Notamacropus eugenii: one gene and its partner. The protein of the gene in region 2 purifies or fractionates together with the protein of the main gene of each other region. This does not show direct contact. Links are inferred from orthologs where the notes say so. Each region holds a gene or a part of one and is shown on either strand. Other genes may lie near its edges.

What was found.
Region 1: the proteins of ATP2A2 (region 2) and PLN purify together in Homo sapiens (affinity purification with western blotting; 4 studies listed by BioGRID). This does not show direct contact. The link is inferred for Notamacropus eugenii from reciprocal best matches to the Homo sapiens genes ATP2A2 and PLN.

Annotation. Positions count from the first base shown.
Region 1 is NC_092873.1:200,444,469-200,454,996, reverse strand, and holds the start of PLN (phospholamban), read right to left. Parts: upstream 5,128-10,528; 5' UTR 5,023-5,127; intron 1-5,022. UniProt on the Homo sapiens protein: Reversibly inhibits the activity of ATP2A2/SERCA2 in cardiac sarcoplasmic reticulum by decreasing the apparent affinity of the ATPase for Ca(2+).
Region 2 is NC_092875.1:36,064,077-36,074,257, forward strand, and holds the start of ATP2A2 (sarcoplasmic/endoplasmic reticulum calcium ATPase 2), read right to left. Parts: upstream 4,540-10,181; 5' UTR 4,408-4,539; coding exon 4,290-4,407; intron 3,239-4,289; coding exon 3,221-3,238; intron 3,132-3,220; coding exon 3,049-3,131; intron 1-3,048.

The DNA of each region.
Region 1 (10,528 bases), on a different chromosome or scaffold from region 2:
CCTTTTTTGCACTTAGAATTTGTACAGCTTTCTAGCTCTTGGTTTTTCCTGGCCATTTACCATTCTCTATACTTATCTCAAAATTAAACAGAATTTCTTGTCAAAGGATCCCCTGACTGAAGAGCTGCAGTTTATGAAACTTTCTTTTTATTTCTGCCTGGATATTTCTGTCAATATAACTGGGCCTAAAGGTTGTATTTGATAATATGTCTATTTTACAAATTGAGTCACTTTAGAGAGATATGGTTAATAGTTTTTAGATAATTTTGGGATAAAATAATCTGATTACTAACTACTTTATAGAGTTGATTTTTCTTGCAGTTGCTTTTGGGCAAATTGATATTAAGGGAATTCATAAGAGTCATCCATAGTCAGTTTTACATCATCACTCTTGTCTGTATCCAGAAGGCAGTTTTGGCTGATTATTTTCAATAATATTATTTTCAGTCTTTTTAAATGTGAAACTACAAAGACATAATTAAGGCTGCCACAGTTTGGGTGGTAGCATACATGACCACTAGAGGCCCTCAGACTACTGCTTAAATTTTCTTTTTGTCTAGTCTTAATTTTTAATGTTTGAATTATTATATGTTTTTTTGAATTGCAAACAAATAATTGTTGAAAAAGAAGAGGGGAGAGTATTAGTGTTGCTTTTTTGTCCGTGACAAGAAAGGCCATGTATATGGCTTGGGGATTTAGCCATGATATTGTAGCTAATTTAATATACTTTCCCTTCAAGAAAACATCTGCTCTGTGACACCTCTGATCACCTCTGGTCAACCATGTGTCTGATTGATACTTCAGAAAAATTGATTGACTCTGTACAATAAGAACTGTAGAGAAATTGCATAGGGAATTCTCATGTTACTAGATCTCACAGTGAAATCAAGGGTCACTGAGGGAAAGGCAGCTTGAAGAGGGTTAAGAAAGAGGTCATTTGAGTTTTTTAACTTGTCAGTGCATGAAGAACCAAAAAAAAAAAAAAAAGCTAGCTGCCAACATTGTTGCACCCTCCAGTCAGTCCTATGTGATTCCCCCTCCCCCAACTCCAACTTACCCATTTGAATCCTGAGAAATGAACAATGAGTGCCTATTTAAGATCAGCAAGCAAGTTTATGTGAGGACGTATTAAGCATTTACTGTATGGAAGGCACTGTGCTAGACAGAAACTGGTGATACAAAAAATGGTGAAAACTCTGGCTGTGTGTGTGTGTATACATACGTATATACACACAAAGTATATGGAAGGTATTTTCAGAGAGGGGATTTGAGCTGAGTCTCCGAGCTGGAGTTGAGGAAGTAGAGCATTCCAGTCATGAGGGATCATATGCACATTTGTATTTGTTCATTAAAAAAGGCAGTTTAGAAGATAACTTTTTTAGGTTACACAAAGAAATGAATCACATCGCTGTATCTTGTGGTGGTAGAAGTTGAACATTTTGTCCATTAAGAAAATAATACTATCAATTTAATTTCTAAATTTATTTTAAATTTAATAAATTGAAAATTAAGATTTAAAGACTTCTGAAACAAATTTTAATTCATTATTGAAATAATACAAATTAAAAACCCTAATTTCTCTTCAGTAATGATGTCAATATTTTAGGAGATTTAACTCCTTCTGTTTAATGGTTCTACTCCTTTGTTTTTACAATATCCTGCATCAGCACATGCCAAATTTTAAAATGTTATTTATGTATTTACCATCAACAATTAGCAAATGACTTTTAATTTCTCCTTTTAACGCAGCAGCAGTGAGATTTAAAAGTAATTAATATCAGTAAACATGTCACTTTCTGAAACTTAATAAGTTCCATGCATACTTTAATGGGAGGGGATGGGAACAAAATGAGGTGAGCAGCAGCAGCAGCAGTAGTGGTGGTGCTATGGACCTTTGATATCTACCTGACCAGGGAATAAAATAATAATAAAAGTAATAAAATAGCTAGCATTTATATAATGCTATGTATATTTATATAAATATTTACATATTTATATAAAGCACTTTACAAATCTTATTTTATTTTCACAACAACGCTGGGAGGTATGTGCTATTAATATCCTCTTTATAGATAAGGGAACTGATGCAGAGGGTGACAGTCCCTGGTCACACAGCTAGCTTTTATTAGAGACAGGACAGGAATCCCAGGAGTTCTTCCAACTGGGCTTTTACTTTACACATGTTGTCATGCTGCCTTGCAGTTTGCCCTACTAAAGGGACATGCTTTGACTCAATATAATGAAACCTATACTATGATAAACTAGTTTTATAATAGGATTTTATGGTATTTTTCAGCCCTGTGGGTGATATTCTATTTATATGGAACTGTATGTGAGAAAATGAAGTGCCAGTAAAGTGAAAGAACTTGAATACTCATTGTGTGTCAGGTGGTACAGATATCATTGTCTGACCATTTCACTGTGTGCTTAGGAAGAGAAAATTTATGTGAGAAACCAACACTGGTAGCCTTCCTGAACTGCAGGGCCCTTATGTGACATTAGTGAAATTAAACGCTCTTCCCCAGCTTTTCTTAGCAGTGTACTTTGCATACAAGTGCACTCTTGAGATCTGTTGATTTTTGGAATCTCTCAACCTCTCCTTTTTAGGCCTGTTTTGTTTTCTCTCTTTTAAGGTATATCTACTGTTTCTCCTGCATTCTCCTGTCATTCTCTAGTTGAAACCTTATACAAAAGTCAGCTTTTAGTTATTTATAATTTAGTGTGAATTTAAATCAACTCTCACATATTTTACATTTTAAACTTTATATCTTGTTGTGGAATGAAATCCACATTATTGTGATTTCAGGTGTCAATTGATCAGATGAGGATGGGCAAAGTAATATAAGGAAGGAGTGCTGACTTTTTTTTTGTCTTAGTTCTGATAGAAGCAGTGTGCTCTGGCAAGCCACTGAATTCTTTTGGTCATCAGTTTGTTTTAAATTTAGGGGTGTTCTGAGACAACTCTAAGATCTCTTTCAGCTCTTAAATTTTATCACTCGTTGCATTTTTCTGGTACATCTTAAATTATGTTCGGGAGCTAGCCTATGGATAATTGGCTTTAATGCTAAGAATATAAGTTAGTCATCCTAGATGTTAACTTATATTTGTTGATTCAACTTTTAGCCAGAAGTTCCAGTTTTCAGTTTAAAGACTGCTTTTAAACTTGAGCATGTATAAATAAAAATCTGTTATAAAACAGAACGTATTGATTTTTAGCAGTGTATTTATTCATTCAGGATTTTCCCCAGCTCCTTGTTGTACATGGTTTTGAAATTTTGTTAATCTTTTAGAGATTAGCTCTTTGAATTCTAATGGGAACTCACCAACTTAAAATATAAGGTATTTAATTTAATCTTGATGTGATCTGATCATTTCTAAAACAAGTGCATGTATAAATATATATGTATATATGTATTCTTGTGTCTGATAGAGTATTTTATAGAAATAAACAGCATATTCTTAAAAGAGCTCCATTATTATGTAAACAAATGGCACATCAGATCATAAATTTACAGCTAGAAGGGGTCTGCCAACTCTAGAAGATGAGGAAACTGAGCCTTGGAAGTGGCTTGCTATTGTACACAAATAAGTAGCAGAGTAATAATTTCAACCCAGGTCCTTTGACTTCAAAACTCATATTTGTTCTTAAAGCTTATCTGGTCCGTAGTTAGTGCTTGCTAAAATTTTCTTATTTGCACAGACAGCTCTACAAACTAAGGTAAAATATCTACCACAGTGAGAGGTGGAAAGGAACTTTAGATGAAATTTGTGCTAAGCAGGGATTATTAATCTGGGACCTGTGAACCTGATTTTTAATATTTTGATTAATTTGTTTCAAAATAATTGATCTCCCTCCCTATGTATTTTATTTTTACACATTTCAGAACATTATTCTGAGGACCATAAGCCTCTACAGCTTGTTAATGTGTTCTATGACACAAAAATAGGTTAAGAACCCCTGTTGTAGAGAAAACCAAAGTTCCCGCTTTTCAAAAAAAAAAATCATAGTGATGCTTGAAGCTTCAAGTAAATTCCTAGGGCAGGAAGGTAAAATTATGTGTTAGAACGATATTTTATCCCAAGTGAAAACAAGAACATAGAAAGGAAAAAACTGGTTTAAAGTCAGTCATTGGCAGAAATATATTAAATCACATGCAGAGTCAAATGAAGCAGCCCAGAATTCTCATTCTAACAGAAAGCACTCTATATTATTAGATTCAAGTGGTTGTTTTCTAATTAGGAAAGACTATTTTTCCCTATGTTCTATAAATATTTTGAGGATCACCAAGTAGCTTTTAATGCTTGGTATTCAGTTTAGCTTAGATCACGATTTTTAACATGGTGTTAGGTCATGTAGAAGTGCTCCTTTTTTAAAAAAAGCATTTTCTCTTGAACAAAAAAAACACAGTCCTTGAAATAAGTTTATGGCATTTACATTCTTCAGTTGTTAATTTCAGTATAAAGAGTTGTAACTGTTACTGAAAAAATCAGTGTATTGTACAGTCACAGGAATGTTTACAATTCTACAAGATGTAAGTAAAAGTTCTATCCTTGTGTTACCTCTTAATTTTTTCAGTTAAAATTATTCAGTAGGAAGTGATAATGAGGAAGTATATAATAACAGTATTATGAAAGATGCTAAAAGTGAATATAATTTCACAATTAGTATTTATAAAATGAATTTGTGTTAAAGGTATGTTAGTCCTTTTTGGACTTTTTGACCTTGAAGTGTTTTGTGTGTGTGTGTGTGTGTGTGTGTGTGTGTGTGTGTGTTTAAAGGACTTATCCCCTCTCAAAGATGGGGAAACTGAGGTATATGCATTAATGTGTTCTGGGGGAAGTGTTTTTATTTAGAAGCAAAACTTTTTAATTAGATTTTTAAGTGATGTCTGGCTCAGAACTAAAATATACAAATCATTCAAAAACAGCATAATGGCTTTGTTTCAACATATATAAAAAAGACTAAAATCTGAGTAGTGGATTAAAGAGTTACCAAAGATAGTTAAAAAATAAGTCTCTTACCTTGGCTGCTCAGATAATTGCAAACATGTAGTGCAGTATGCTCTCAGTTGTCTGAAGTCCTCGTGTTTTACTGGCACCTTTTTTTTGAATGTCACTATATTTGTGGAAACAGTTGAAGTAGGTGGAGAAAGAGAAGTTTCAGAGGGAGGACCCATGATGTCATACACTAATTGAGAAGTTGTGATTGGTTATTATATACCTCAACACTGAGATTATCCAATCAAACTCACTGAAACCGTGATTAATACTACTTTAGAACTGCAAAGGTCACCAGCCTTTGATATTTTACTTATTGAAAAAAGCAAATGGTGAACTATAAGGCTGGTTCTTATATAAAAGAGAGTGCCATGTTTGCTCTTGATAGTTTGTTTTGTTTTTGTTCAGAAAGCTTTTAAAGAATCCCCTCCCCTAGATGTTTTTGGTGTATTATAAAATTTTCATATTGTAAAAATTTCAAGTAGTAAGTGATTTATTTACAGAACTTTTCAAGTTGCAGTAATAATAAGGAACTTGATGCTTCTAATTAGATGCATTCCCATTGAGTCACTGGGCCAAAGTGCTATCTCTGTTCAGTTTTATATTTAATTCTGTGATTGTCTAATATTAAAAGTTTAAAAGAATTTTGAATTTTTTTCATTTAAACACAAATTGATACATCCTTAGTACGTGTTCATATGTGCATACATACACACACACGCATACATATACATTCAGTGGTAATCACTTTTTAATTCTTTTTTTTTTTAAAGTTTTTGTAAAAAGGTCATTTATTTGAAAGCTAAGCAAGAACAAAAGCACAAGCCATTGATTTTAACACTCCTGTTCTAACGTGGTCTCTGGAATGAGTAGGCATAGATTTGACTCATTTCTGTTACATAGCATTGGTCTCACCAATGTTCACATGTAAATGCTGCGTTTCTGCTGGATTCTTATTTCAGCTATTTTTAGGCTGGATCCCAAAGGTTATGCCTCTCTAATTTGCTAATGTATATGGAGGGATGTATAGACATATGCTTACTATGTAAATATAGTTTAAATTAAAATTTATTAAAACAGCTAAAGGGTGATTGCTAGCATATGTGTGTTGTGTATGGGTATATATCTCTTCTAGGTAATTAATTTGCTTAAGCATTTTAAAATTTCTGCTTTCAGAAATAAAAACTTAAGTTTAATATTTCTAAGGTACAAAAAGCATTCCAAAATCTTTTTTTAAAAAGTGATGTATTGTTTTAGGGATTTCTTGTTTATTTTTGTTTGTGTTCAGTGTATACTATGGAATTTGTAAAAAAAAAAAAATATAGTACATTTACTCTGCATTTTTATATGCATTGATATTAGTTCTACATAAGCAAATCAAGTAGCCTTTAAAATCTGCAGCTGCTGTTTTATGTGTCCTTAAATGGATATCTTCTGGTATTCCTCCAGAGGAAGATAAGAATCCATATCTGGGAGCATTTTTTCATTCTCCATTTATTTAAAGAACCAGTGAAAACTGATTTTAAAATAATATTTTGGGAGAAAATGTTTTATGGATATAATAAAGTAAAAATGGAATACCTGAAAAGTATACATAAAAATGAATGAAATGAGTAGTTTTTCCTACAGAACTTTAAAAACCTCATATTTCTCTTGTTCTCTTGTGTTTAATACTTTTTCCAAGTGAAAAATGTTGTGTAGCTAAAATTTTAAATCCCATTCATTCCAGAGTACATTTCTGTTACTTTTGTGAACTATTATAGAGCAGAAGATTCAGAGAATGGGAGATTTAAAACAGATTTACAGTATATATTGATATTATGACAAATGGGGAGAGACAGAAGCCAACAGACTCTTGATAACTTTAAAAAATGATGTTTTAAATCTGGATGGTATCTATTAAAATCCGAACATATCTGGATGGATATCTTTTTTATTAGGAAAAGAAAAAATTTGAAGTCATTAAAAAGAAGAAAGTTTGCAATTCTTGGAAAATGGAGTTTGGTGGTAATTTAGTTTGATAAACCAGAAGTTTACTGTATGCTTAATTCTAATATGCTCATTATGTATTTGTTTATTAATTTCCTAGGGATTCAGAAAATTAGCAGAAATAGTATGTAGGAATAACAACGTACAAACGAAGAATTTCTTCTCTTTTGTGTATAAGTATGAAGAGATGCCTGTGTTTGGCCTACTCTTGTCTTAGAGTCTAAGCCTCTTTTTAAAAAACAAGGAGTGCAAACACTTAAGAAATGTCAGTGTGCTTTTGAATGTATTCTGAGCCTTAGAGTTGCTATGTGTTCTAGGCACTATGCTGAACAATAACACACACACACACACACACGCAGAAAGAGTTTGCTTTCAAGGAAATGTAGTAGTCAATAGGATTGAGGGTTTAGCTGGTATTAAAAGTATTCATGGCTGGTATGAGTAGATTCTGAGGAGGAACTTGACCATTAGAACAGGGGGGAGGTTAGAGTTGGAGGAGATTCTGACTGAACCCTCACAATGTGCCAAGCTTTGTGTTAGGTACAGGAGTGGGAGTAGATCCAGGGGAAGGTACTCATCGGAGCATGGTGGACAAATACAGAGTTAGAAGCAGGAGCAAAGGATTGACTGGTCTGGGCCTTGCAGATTGTAGGGGCAGAAGAGATGTGTGTAGAGGGAGAAGATGGGGGAGCATTTTGAGACCAAGCAAATGTGTAGATAAAGGAAAGCTTTGGGTGGAGCTTAGTGTTCTGCCCTCTAGCATTCCTGTTAGAGGGAAGAGGAGGCTGAGATTAATCATTAGAATTGCCTCAGCATTTCAATTTGAAGTTTTTATTCTTTCCAAGTCAACAAGCATATATTTAGCTCCTACTCTATGCCAGGCACTGTGCTATATACCAAGAAAGTTAAAAACAACCCCTGTCCTCAAGGCACTTAGAATAGAATTAGAATAGGCAGTGAGGAAACAAAACTATCACTTTGTGTATGATGTGATGCTATACTAGAGAACCCTAGAGAATCAACTAAGAAACAACTTATCAAAGTTGCAGCATATAAGACATAAATAAGCAGTATTTCTTTATATGACCAATAAAGCCCAGAAGCAAAAGATAAAAAGAGAAATTCCATTTAAAATAACTGTAAACAATATAAAATACTTAGGAACCTACCTGCCAAGACAAACCCAGGAACTATATGAGCACAGTTACAAAACACTTTCCATACAAGTAATGTCAGATCCAAACAATTAGAAAGATAGCAGTTGCTCATGGATACGCTGAACCAATATCATGAAAATGACAGTTCTCTCTAAAATAATTTATTTATTCAGTGCCATTCCAAACTTCCCCAAAATTATTTGATAGAGGTAGAAAAAAAGTAACAAATCATCTGAAAGAACAAAAGGTCAAGAATATCAGTGGAATTAATGAAAAAAATACAAAGGAAGGTAACTTAGCAGTTCCAGATCTCAAACTATATTATAGAGCAGTAATCATCGGAACTATCTGCTACTGGCTAAGAAATAGAGTGGTGGATCAGTGGAATAGATTAGGTTTACGAGACATAGTGGTAAATTACCACAGTAATTAAATGTCTCACAAACCCAAAGACCCCAGCCTCTGGGATAAAAATTCACTATTTGACAAAAACTGCTGGGAAAACTGGAAAACAATAGGGCCCAAACTAGATATAGACCAATATCTCATACCATACTACCAAGATAGGGTCAAAAGGGATACATGATTTAGACATTAAAATAGTCTGCCTGTAAGATCTATAGAGAAGGGAAGAATTTTTGATCAAACGAGATAGAGCATTACAAAATAGAAAAAAAAAGTAATTTTGATTATAATAAATTAAAAATAAACACAAACAAAAACAAAACCAGTGCAACCTAGATTAGAAGGAAACAATCTTTATAGTAAGTATTTCTGATAAAGGCTTCATTTTTCAAATAAAGAGAACTGAGTCCAACTTATAAAGACTACAAGCCATTTTTCCCTATTGATGAATGGTCAAAGGATATGAACAGGCAGTTTTCAGAAGAAACCAAAATTATCTATAGGCAAATGAAGTGCTCTAAATCACTTGATTAGAGAAATGCAAATTAAAGCAACTCTGAGATACCATCTCACATCTATTAGATTGACTAATATGACAAAAAAGGAAAATGATAAATGTTGGAAGGGATGTGGGAAAATTGGGACACTAATGTGCTGTTGGAGTTGTGAACTGATCCAACCATTCTGGAGAGCAATTTGGAACTATGCCCAAAGTGCAACCAAACTCTGCATACTCATGTATTTCTTAAAAGCAAATGTTTTTGAGAATCTTAGAGCTGAAAAAGATTTCATAGGCTAGGTCAAACTCATACCAGAATAAAGATTTCTTCAGTGTGTGAGTCATGCAGTATATTTTTAAAAACATCTACTGAAGGAGAACCCAGTACTTCCCAGATGATCCTATCCTACTTCTAATTAAGATTTTTTTTATATCATCTCTAATTCTGACACTGAATCTTACTTATTATTCCTGTTTTACTTCTTGGAACCAAAACAGAATAAGTCTACTTTTGGAAGACCACTTCACAATCAGATATTTGAAAATAACTGTTATGCTCCTGTTAAGTTTTCTTCTCCAGGCTAAATCTTTCATTTCTTTCAGCTGACCCTCATCTGAATAGAAGCTCCTTGTAAGTGTGGAAATACCATTGTTTGTACTTTATTGCCAGTGTCTAGCACAGTATCTGGCAAAAAGGGAACTGATTCATAAATTGTATGAAATTGGCTTTAAAGACATTTAATCAATATTTATTGATTGTTTTATACAGCCTAATGCCCAGTCCAGAGATGGGGAACTTATGGCCATCAGGCCACATGTGGCCCCATAGGTCCTCAGATGTGGCCTTTTGACTTAATCCAAACTTCACAGAACAAATCCCCTTATAATAAAAGAATCTGTTGTGTAAAACTCAATCAAAAGGCGGTACCCATGGACCTCTAGAGGGCCTCATCTCCTTTAACTTTTTTTTTTTCACATGAGGTAGGGAGTCCCAGCTTTGAAAACTGTTACAATAGTTCAGGCTAAAGTGAATGAGGGCTTGATCTATGGTGGTGACTGTATCACTGGAGAGAAGAGCACCCTAGGACAGAGCCTTAGTATAAATCCAAGAGAGCACTCCTTTAACCATTCTGCCCCCCCCCCAAACAAACAGAGAAAACCATTCACTGTTGACTTCAGTGTTCCATCTGGCTGTTTCCTTGAATCTTTTCCCATGTTTTGTCTTTACCCCTTTGGCAGTGTGGTTAAGGCTGTTGATTCTCAGAATAATGTTTGTTACTGCACAAAGTAAAATACTTAGAATACATACTCAGAGAGGAGATTAAGAAGAGAAGGTGGCAACAGTTTTAGGGTTTGTGGAAAAGTTAAAGATGAGTATTGAGAAGAACCCATTGACTCCAGCAGTTTAAGAGGTTTTTGGTTATTTTGGAGAGAGCAACTTCAGTTGAATGTGAAGGTCTGAAGCCAGAGTGCGGAGAGT
Region 2 (10,181 bases):
TGCCTCAGTTTCCTCATCTAGAAAATGAGCTGAAGAACAAAATGACAAACCACTCCAGTATCTTCATCAAGAAAACCCCACATGGGGTTACAAAGAGTCGGACGCCACTGAAATGACTAAATGACAAATCCCTAAAAGTCACCAGTGTACAAATAATTGCAATTTCCTAAGTTCTGCTACAGCAGAACATTAGCCAGAGTTAACAGTTTACTCTCTGGTTTAGCATGTCAAGCAGGCACAAGAAACATCATGTAAATGTTTAGCTGGGTGCATTTTTTACAATCTAAGCAGAACCAGTTACACAACACATATACCCCATCTCTATCAGACACACATCAAAATTTTACGTTAACAAAATATATTTGTTAAAATAAAGGAAATAATTAAGCATCACTTAAAAAAAAAAAGAATGCAATAAGAGAAGATTAGCCATACAGCAGAGCAGTTTTTCTTCTGTCCCTTCACATCTGCCTGGTTCAGCTACTCAAGTTTAAACAACTTCCATTTTCAAATTGTTTCCTAGTCATTTTTTATCAAAGAATCACAGGATTCAGAACTCAAAGGAACTTTCTGAGTATCGTCTAATCTAACCTCTTTATTTTATAGATGAGAAAAAAGAAAGCTTAGAGACAAGTTTAATGGCTCAAGGTCACACAGTTATGAAATGACAGAACTGAGATTCGAATGCATGACAAGACTCATTGTACTGCAGCCATCAGAGAATCAAAATTCAAAAAAGATGAAGATGTTGGACAATTCCCAGTGACCACAAGAATGGTGGTTTGGAAAGGTTAAAGAAGATGCTGCTTGAAATACTCTGAAAATGAGTACGTGAATTTCCAGAAACCATAAACTCTATTAAATTTTTACAATAAACTATGCTTTCAACATCCATCACATGCTAAAGTTTAAAATATACTCTATAATATACAGATAGACTCCCCCTCTTTCTCCGCATATAGATATGGGGGACAGGGGGAGAAAGAGGAGAGAGAGAGAGCTCAATTAAAACTTCCAATATTGATCTCTGTCTTGGGTATTACCAACACCAACAACTCAGCAGCTAAGATTAATTTTGCTTTAATGTACACATGACCATGCTTCTGATGTAACATCTCAGTGGTCCCTGGTGGCATCAAGAGACCCAAGTACAAAGCTGTGTTGGCCCAGAAATGAGATTTCAAAAACCATTTTAGCCATCTAAAGGTGTAAGACATGCACCAGTCTAAATATTCACTCTGCCTTGTTTTGCGAAGTTAAATCAAATTCATATTTTATTCTACTTCTCAACAAATTGCGATTAGTTCAAGGAGGCAAAGTCATTTCCAATGTGCTTTGGCTGCCTGTTTATTCCTTCTGTAAACTATTCAAGACTATTAGCAGCTCTGCTTAGTCCCTGAATGAATCCACACAGTATTTGCAGTTAGAAGTGCAAGTACATGTTAGTGGTAACAAGCTACTAATCCTTTAAAATGCAAACTGATTAATCTATACAAAAGATGATTCTAATTTTCTCAGATATATTGGAGTTAAACTGTGTAATTTAAGTTTAAAAAAATATGGGAGAAAAAGGTCATATTAGGAGGTTGGGAGCAATTCACCAGGCTCCGCAAACCATTTGTTGTGATATCATGCCTCAATTTTCCTCCAAGAGAAGAAACCAAAGGCAGACCCTAAAGGTAATTAATGGCACTCACGGCAATTCTGACTGCACTACACTCCCTGGGAAAGGGCTTATAGGACTAAGACTGTGTCTATGAATGTTTGCTCCTCCTAGATCTACCATTTGGAAAACAACTCGGACACCTGCCATTCTAAGTCAATAGCTCTGCCTGTTCAAATCTCCTTCTGCTGAAAGATAAGACAGAGAAAAGATAGAGGAAAGATGAAGGTGGCCCATGGGGCAGCACACCCAACTGCCAAGGAGTTCACCTCGAGTGGGCTGTGTCAGGGTTTTCTAAAGCCATGCCTGGCTGAAAAATCAGAGGCGCACATGCCGCCTCAGCAGATGTGGTCACATCAAGACCAATCCTTCCTGTCCTCAAGTGGTGGGGAGAAGAAACATTTTTGTGAATGAGATTATTTTATTTCATCCAGAGAATTGAGTTTTCCAAGCCTTCCTTACAAGTGTGTGAAGGCCTCTATCTACCACACGGAACAAATGTTCTCTGGGCTCAAAAAAAGAATAACCCACAGAGAACAAATTGGTTAATAACTTATCAAGAACACATTCGCCCCCATCCCCTCCGTAGGCTTTCATTCTCTGCATCTCTCTCGTTTCTTAGCAACCCCACCAGCTCCTGCATGCAAACGTAGACTCCCCAGCTAACACAACCAGGAAACTGCCCAGTTCAAACGTTTTGTCTATGGATCAGGGCAAGCTGAACTTTGTCCTGTCCAGCTGAGGCATTCTATCTGCTTGGTACTCAGTCAAGTCAGAGAAAGGGGGTGGGGTGGGGGGTACAATTTAGATGAACATACCACCACCCAGAAGGGCAGTGACCAAATTTGGTCAACCCCAGAGCCATCACCAGCGTCATCATTCTTGTCCCTGTCAGAAGCAACTGTCACCTTGCTATTACCAGAAAGGGAAAACAACTGGGAATACTCCTCGGCTAAGTGCTATTTACAGATGACAATGACCCCATCATCATCTTCATGTGATCTTACAAACTGTTAATAAGGAGAAGCCAAGATTTAAAAATAAAATTAAACGCCTAGTAATTAAAAAAACCAAAACTTTGGCTTTAGAAGCTTATTTGGCCCTACAGTATGTTTTTGGAAAATCCAATTAGCTTTAACCCCCTTAGTTAAAAAAAAAACCCAAAAACCAAAACACCCCTTAGACTGAAGCATGCATTTACTTTCTAAAAAAACCAATAGTCTGCATTATATAAATACAAATGGCTCACACCAAGACAAAATACTTTGACTGTGGCTTCTTTGCTTATTACCCATTTTTCTGCTTTTAGTTTTATAAGTTTCATCCCTGCAACATTTGGCCGACCAATACTTAAAAAAAAATAAAAAGAAATGTTTTATACTTACAAAAGATATACAGGCTGCCAGCAGTAAAATTCTAACTAATAAATCTTCAAACTGTTCAATTACAAGCTCCAATAAGGTTTTCCCTATAATAACAAACGCAAATTATTAAAATAGTTATCTTAATAGCCTCGGCAAGAAACAATGAAAAGAAACTTTGAAGCCAATGACTTACCTTCTTCTGCTGGCAATTCTGTTGTATGCAGAGATTTGCAAGAAAGCAAGAGAGAAAAGAAAAAAAGAAAACGTTAACATTCGGTTTTTCTGTAAGAAAAATTGTTAAAATTTAAACATTCTCCATTCTGGAAGACAACGACCATCCTTCCTGTAGGTGACAATTAACAGAAAGATACAATTTTTTTTTTTTCGGTTAATGACCTTGTGCCTACATCTCAGAGTGAAATCCAGCCACTTAAGGAGGGGACCCTAAAAAAGGAGCCATTTTAACCAGGTCACCCCCCTGCCAGATGTGTGTGTGGGGGTGCCTCTGGGGAGCCCAGAAGGTCAGAGGCTCCTCTAAGCCCGAAGCCCGATTTCTCCTGACAGCCCATGGATCACTTTCTCATTCCCCAGACGAGGGCTGGAGCTGCGTGGGTGATTCATCGAGGCACAAAAAGGTCGTCAAGGGATAGGAACTGGGAAACGACAATGGCAGGCATGGCACTGCGGGGCCCTCCCGAGCCCCCCTCCCCACGTGGGGAAGGTTCCTCCGGGTGGGGGGATTCGCCGCGACAACCGGGGCGGGGAAGCCCGGGTGGGAGAGACCCACGAGGTGGAGCCCCAGTCAGCCATCTTCCCTCTCTCTTAGGCCGCCTTTCCAGCCCGATGCGGACTCTACACGCCCAGACTCCCGGCCCCGGCCCCCGACGGCCCCCTCCTCCGCAGAGGTGGGGAGGGGAGCCCGGGGACCCCGCTAGGAGGGGCTGCCATCTCACCCTCCCGGGGGAGCCCCGGATAAAAGGCCACGGGAGACCCCAATATGGGGAGATGGCTGAAAAGCGTGGATCCCCCTCCCCTCTTGCGCAAAGCGGGCAACCTACAAGGGTGGGGGGCGGCAGGGAAGGCCTGGGCCCCCAACTAGAGGGAGCCTGTCCTCCGAAAAACGGGCAAGGCCCAAAGGGGGCTGGATGGGCTGGGTAACCCCCGGCAGGGGAAGGCTGAAGCCCCTGGGCGGGCGGGTGTCAGCCGCCCCCTCCCCCTCCCGGCCGCAGCGGGCGAGCGGGCGAGCTGCTGCGGGCACGCACCGTTGGAGCCCCAGCGCTCCTTGAGCTTCTTGACCTGCTCCAAGCTCAGCCCCGTGCTCTCGTTGACGCCGAAGTAGCCGAGCACCTCCTCCACGGTCTTGGTGTGCGCGTTCTCCATGGCTGCGGAGCCCGAGCCCGAGCCCGCCCGGGGCCGCCTCCGCCTGCTCCCGGCCCGCTAGGACGCGCTCGGCCCGGCTGGCTCGGCTCGGCTCGGCTCGGCTGGGCCGCCGGCAGCGGAGGAGGCGATGGGAGGGCCGGTTCCAGCGCTTTCCCCCCGCCCGCAGCAGGAGCAGCAGCAGCCGCGGCGCCGCCGCCTCCTCCTCCTCGGCCGCCTCCTTCCGCTCGGCCGAGCGCTGAATCACCCCACGGGCGCCCTCCCCCCCGCGGCCCCTGGGCAGGTGACGCCGTCCCCCGCCCGGCTCCGCTCCGGTCGGCTCTCCCGGCGCCTGCCCGAGCCCGGGACCGTGCCTCGATCGCCAACCGCCGCCCGGCCCGGCCCCGCGCCTCGAGCCTCGCTCGCCCGCCTGCCGGCCGGGCGCTGGGCCCCGCGGTCGCCCCGACGCTGCCGCCCGGGGAGCTCTATCTAGCCGGAGCGGCGCTCGCTCCCTCCGCGGAGCCCCCACCCCAGAGGGCCGCGGCGGCGGTGACCCGAGGAGGAGACTGCGGCGAAGGTGGCGGCGTCGGGGACGGGAGCGAGCGGCGCGGCAGCGACGGCGGCGGCGGCGGCGGCTCGAATAGCATTTATTCGCTGCTGCCTCCCCTCTCGCCGCCGCGGCATGTGGACGCCGCTCATTGGCCGAGAGGCACCAGCGCGGCGCCGGCGGCCGGGCCACGCCCCCTGCCTCCCCCTTCTCTCCCCTTTCCTCCTCGCTCCTCACCCCCGCCCCTCCCTTTCCTCCTCGTCTCCAGCCCTCCTCCGACTCCCTCACCCACGCCGCCCGGGCCGACGCACGGGCCCCGCCCCCTCCGACCGTCTCCTAGGGCCCGGATCGAGGCTCGAGGAGCTCAAGGCGCAGGCGCCCTGGAGCCGCCGGCGTGCCGTTCCGGAGCGGGCATGGCGGGCCGTGTAGGCGCAGGCTTTGGGCCTCCTCTGGAGGGAGTGCAGAGACATCTGGTCATGAAAAGCCGAGAGAGGGCCGGGCAGGGCCTTGGAGCACCTTAGGGGTCGCGGCTCCGGATGTTGTGCCCGCACCCGGCCGCCCGGTTCCCTAAGGCCTCCCACGAGGCCTAGCCTGGGCCCACCAGGACTTGTCTCCGGGATAATCTCCATTTTCCCCGGCTAGCCCTTGTCTCCCTTCCCCGTGAGACTGTGAGCTCCCCAAGGGCAGGGACCGCTTTTGTCCTCTGTTGTACCCAGTGCCCAGCACATAGTAGTCCCTTCCTGGTGTTAATTGACCTGTTGACAGGGGCCATGTGGCTTCTGGTGAAGAAGAACCCTTTGAACCTTGAACACCATACCATTCCCGTACAGATCTTAGAGCTAGGAAGTTCTTCCTGCTGTCCAACCTCCAAATCCTGCTTCCTGGCCCCCGGTTCTGCCCTCGGGTCAAGCACAACTTCAACGCAACTTCATAGGATGTGGATTCAAAGCCCTTCACCTCCTTCTGTACATCCTCCACTTGATCCATGATGGACTTCCCACCAATAGAAGAGAGTGTTCCAGATTATCTTCTGACCAGTGCAAAGGCCCATTAGTTTTCTGTTCCTGGAAGCTAGGCTTCTCAGTGTGTGAAGTGGAGAACATATTAGCTTGGGGGGGGGGGGGAGGCGGTGGCAGTATTGATTCCTTTTGAGGTTGCATCCCCAATATCTCCCCTTCCAGTCAGTCCAAGGTCATGCAGATCATAAGTAGTCTACACTAGAACTCAGATCTTCTGTCTGCAAGTCCAGTGCTTGTCTAGTGTGTCAAAGTTTGAAATCTGCCTCCAGCCTGGAATATCCTAGGAGGAACAGTGGTATTGTATATGTGAATCTTCATAATTCCCTCATGCCAACTTCTTCAGAAGACTGACAAAATCCACATTATAGCACTTTTTATGTGATCCTCAATCCTATAAAGCACCAATTAACTAAGTATTTACTAAGCACTTGTTAGATGCTGAGCACCAGATGCTAGTTGCTGAGGGTAAAAAAAGGAAACTGAAACTGTTCCTGTGCTCAAGAAGCTAGGCAGGGTAAGTATGATCAATCCTATTTTGTAAATGAGGTAACTAAGGTTTAGGGATTGAGTGACAATCAAGGTCACACCTGGGAAGTAGGGGAGCTGAAACTAGAATCTCAGTCTTACTGGGTTTTGTTTTTTTTCCACTACATCACTGAGGGTGGGGGTTAGGGTGAGGTAAAGAATGAAGGAATTGCCTTCCACATGTACTATGGACTTCTTGCTTCTTGTCTCATTAAGATGTGAGCTAGGGGCAGGTAGCACTGGCCCTCAAGTCAGGAGGATCTGAGTTCAAATTCATCTTCAGACACTAACTGTGTGACCCTGGACAAGATGTGAGTTCCTTGAGGTGAGGAAACATTTTTGCCTTTATATTCTCAGCACCTATGTGCCTGGCACATGGTAAGTGCTTAATAAATGTTTGTTGACTTTCTGATGGTGACCCAATATTACTCTAGTACTAAAAACAGAGAGACTTACCGGAAAATGTAGTTTGGTGAGATTAGATGAATTGCAACAAATTGCAGATTGCTTTATGTTGTCTCATTTGAGCTTCACAACAAATCTGTGAGTTAAGTACCATAGTTATTAATACCTCATTTCACAGTTGAGAAATCCGGCTCAGCAGATTAGGTAATTTGTTCGTGATCACACAGTGTCAGAGGGAACCTGGAGCTCCTCCGAATCCAACTCTGGTGCTTTTGCAAAGTATACCATGCCCCTCAGGATGATGGAGTGTGTGAAGACTTATCTAGAGGACTCATCTGGAGGTAGCCCAGAAACCACTAAGCTCCAATTGGAACAACTGGAAAGGAGCCATATCCATTGGGTATTCAAATGATTTAGACAACTTTAGAGGTCCATTTTAGAAATGAGGAAACAGACCCAGGGAGGTTAAGGGAATTGTTCAAGATTGATCTTGGTATCATTCGATTAAGGTGCTATTCACCATTACCCTCTTATTACTTGACATTGACTAACCTCAGAATTCTCTGAATTGGGGTGTCTGTGATGAAAATCACTAAGGCAACAGGAGGTGGAAAAGTAAGAAAGGAAAATACCCTCCTGGGGCAGTAATCCCACTGTCCTTTACTCTGGTCAAACCACATCTGCAGTATTGTGTTCAGTTCTGCATATCACATTTTAGGCAGGACATTGATATGCTGGGTACATGTTCGGAAGAGGGCAACCAGAAAGAAATGTGAAACCTTGCCCCGTGAGGATTGGTGGAAGGAACTAGGCCTATTTAACCTAGCAAAGGCTTAGCTGGGACATGCTAGCACTCTAAATATCTGATGACCAAGCAGAGGCAACAAGCTTGTTCTCCTTGGTCCCAAGAGGCAGAACTAAAGAGGCAGTGAACTGAAGATTCAGAAAGGCATGTTAGGGTTCCACTTAATGAAAAACTTAGCAAAAGAGTTGTCCAAAAGGAGAATAGTCTGCTATGGGAATTAGAGGGGTCCCCCATCATCTTGAAGAAGAGGGGACTCTTTGGAAGAGGTGGATTTGTATGGATGCTGAAGTTTCTTTCAACTCTGAAAGCCTGTGATCAGCCTCAGTTCACTTTGGATAGCTCTACTCATTAGGAAGTTTTTCTTTACAATCTCAACCTACTGCTCTTAGTGCCTGGGGTGGGAGTGGGGATGGCAAACAGAAATCTTATCCTTCCAGCATATGAAGGCCCTCTGAATGCTTGAAGATAGCTATCAGATTCCCTCCCCAACCTGTCCCATTATCTCCTGTTTTAGAGGCATCCTGGGGTAGTGGAAAGAGCATTAAATCTGAAATCAGAAAAACTGTCTTTAAATCTCAGCTCTATCCAATACCGATGTGGCTTCAGGCAAGTCAACTCAGTGTGCCTCCATTTCTTCATCTGAAAATTCCCTTAAGAAGATTGCACTCTGCCTGGTGAGGGTTAATGAATACTTTCCTGGTAAAAGAAGAGGGGAGAGTGGCATAGTAATTTATTATTATTATTTTTAACTCCCACTCTTGGTCTTATGATAACTCTTGTCTGCATTAGAAATCACAGGTTGTGATCTGAGAACTTTTAAATAGCTATTGGAGTACCATAGAGTGCCTGAGTACTTAGTTCTCAGCAGCTCCAGGGTTGGGAAGATGGAGGCATTGATGCCATAATGTTAGGTATATTTTCTTTTCTGTCACTTTCTCCAACAGGGAAAAGGAGGACCATTTTGCTCCAAAGCCTACACTTTAGCTGCAGATATTTTGTTCACATATTCTTCACAAAACCCACGTCTCCCTGACATAAAGGAAGTTCCCCAAATATAAAGGGACCCCCACTTAACTGGAGGTGGAGAGGAGGGACCTCTGCATGGAATCCATGAACAAAATATGTGCAAATTAGGTTTTCAGAGGCAAGCAGCTTTCTTGCAGCAGGTTGCCAAAGCAAAACATTTTGTCTATCTATAGAGACAGAGCACACCCTGAGAGGAACAGGGGAGAGCCAGCTCAACTGCCCTGGAGAATTCGGCCTGAGGACTGGAAACAGATTAATTTCTCCAGCCAGATGCAGGTCACATTGTACTGCCCAGCTGAAAGAATCACATACGTCATCTTATTTCATTATTTCCAAGGAGTGGAGGCTGGCATGAGGTTTTGATTGATACCTGGAAGAAGATTTAAAAAAAAAAACAAACCCAACAACCATGAAGCAAGCAAACAAAAATTCTTGTGTATGGTAATGCACCAGGTGAAGCAAGGTGGAAACTGGTTAGGCCACAGCCACGGAGCAACTTGTCAGTGATCGTTCCAGGGTGTTGCACTTGAAGGACCAATGGCCACTTTCTCTCTGGAAGTACATTTACACCATGTGTAGCAGCCAATCCCAGTTATCTCTTCTAGCACTACCAGAAATAGAAGGGTACTACATATTTTTAGGCATTATAGAACTTGCAAGGAAAGTGCTTTCTAAACCCAAAGGCCTAGAAAGCTGTGGGGTTTGTATATAAAGGTAAATTATTATTTTATTACAGTTCTGTACCCTAAGGCTGAACTGAGATCTTGTGATTCCACTTCTGACATCTCAACCTCTTTACCTTGGTATCCTTACCTGTAAAATAGGTAATCTTCTCTAATTATCTCCATAAATCAATAAATAAGAATTTATAATAATAGCTGGCTCTTATATAAAAGTTTGAAAAGCACTTTGTGCTGTCATGTGACCCTTACAACAACTTTGTGAAAGTGTTATTATTACCCCTAATTTATAGTTAAGGAAAGTGAGGCTCAAAGAGGTCACTCAGTAAGTATGAGTTAGCACTTGAACTCATGTTTTTCCAAGTCCAGCACTCTTATTTCCTAGGCCACTTAGTTGCCACATTTATTAAGTGCCTACTATCTGCTGAATGTCATGCTAAGCACTGGGAACGCATATTATGCCAGGAGCAGGAAGCAAGACAGACAACATGTAAACATCCCAGAATCATAGTTCTGGAGCTACAAGTGACCCTTGGAAGTGATCTGGTCCAACTCTCTGTGTCCAACATCACTGGGGAGAGCTAGGAATGGGAAGCTGTGACCCCAAATCCAGGGCTCGTTCCACTGTGTCATACTGCTGCCACTGCGAGCAGAGGTGTACATGGCACTTTGAGGTTTGCAAACATTTTCTTATTCTATTCTGATTTCAAACCTTTGATCCTATAAAGAAGAGAAGAGTGATATGACCGTAATAACAGTACCAAGTGCAACACTAATGATGATGCTGATAA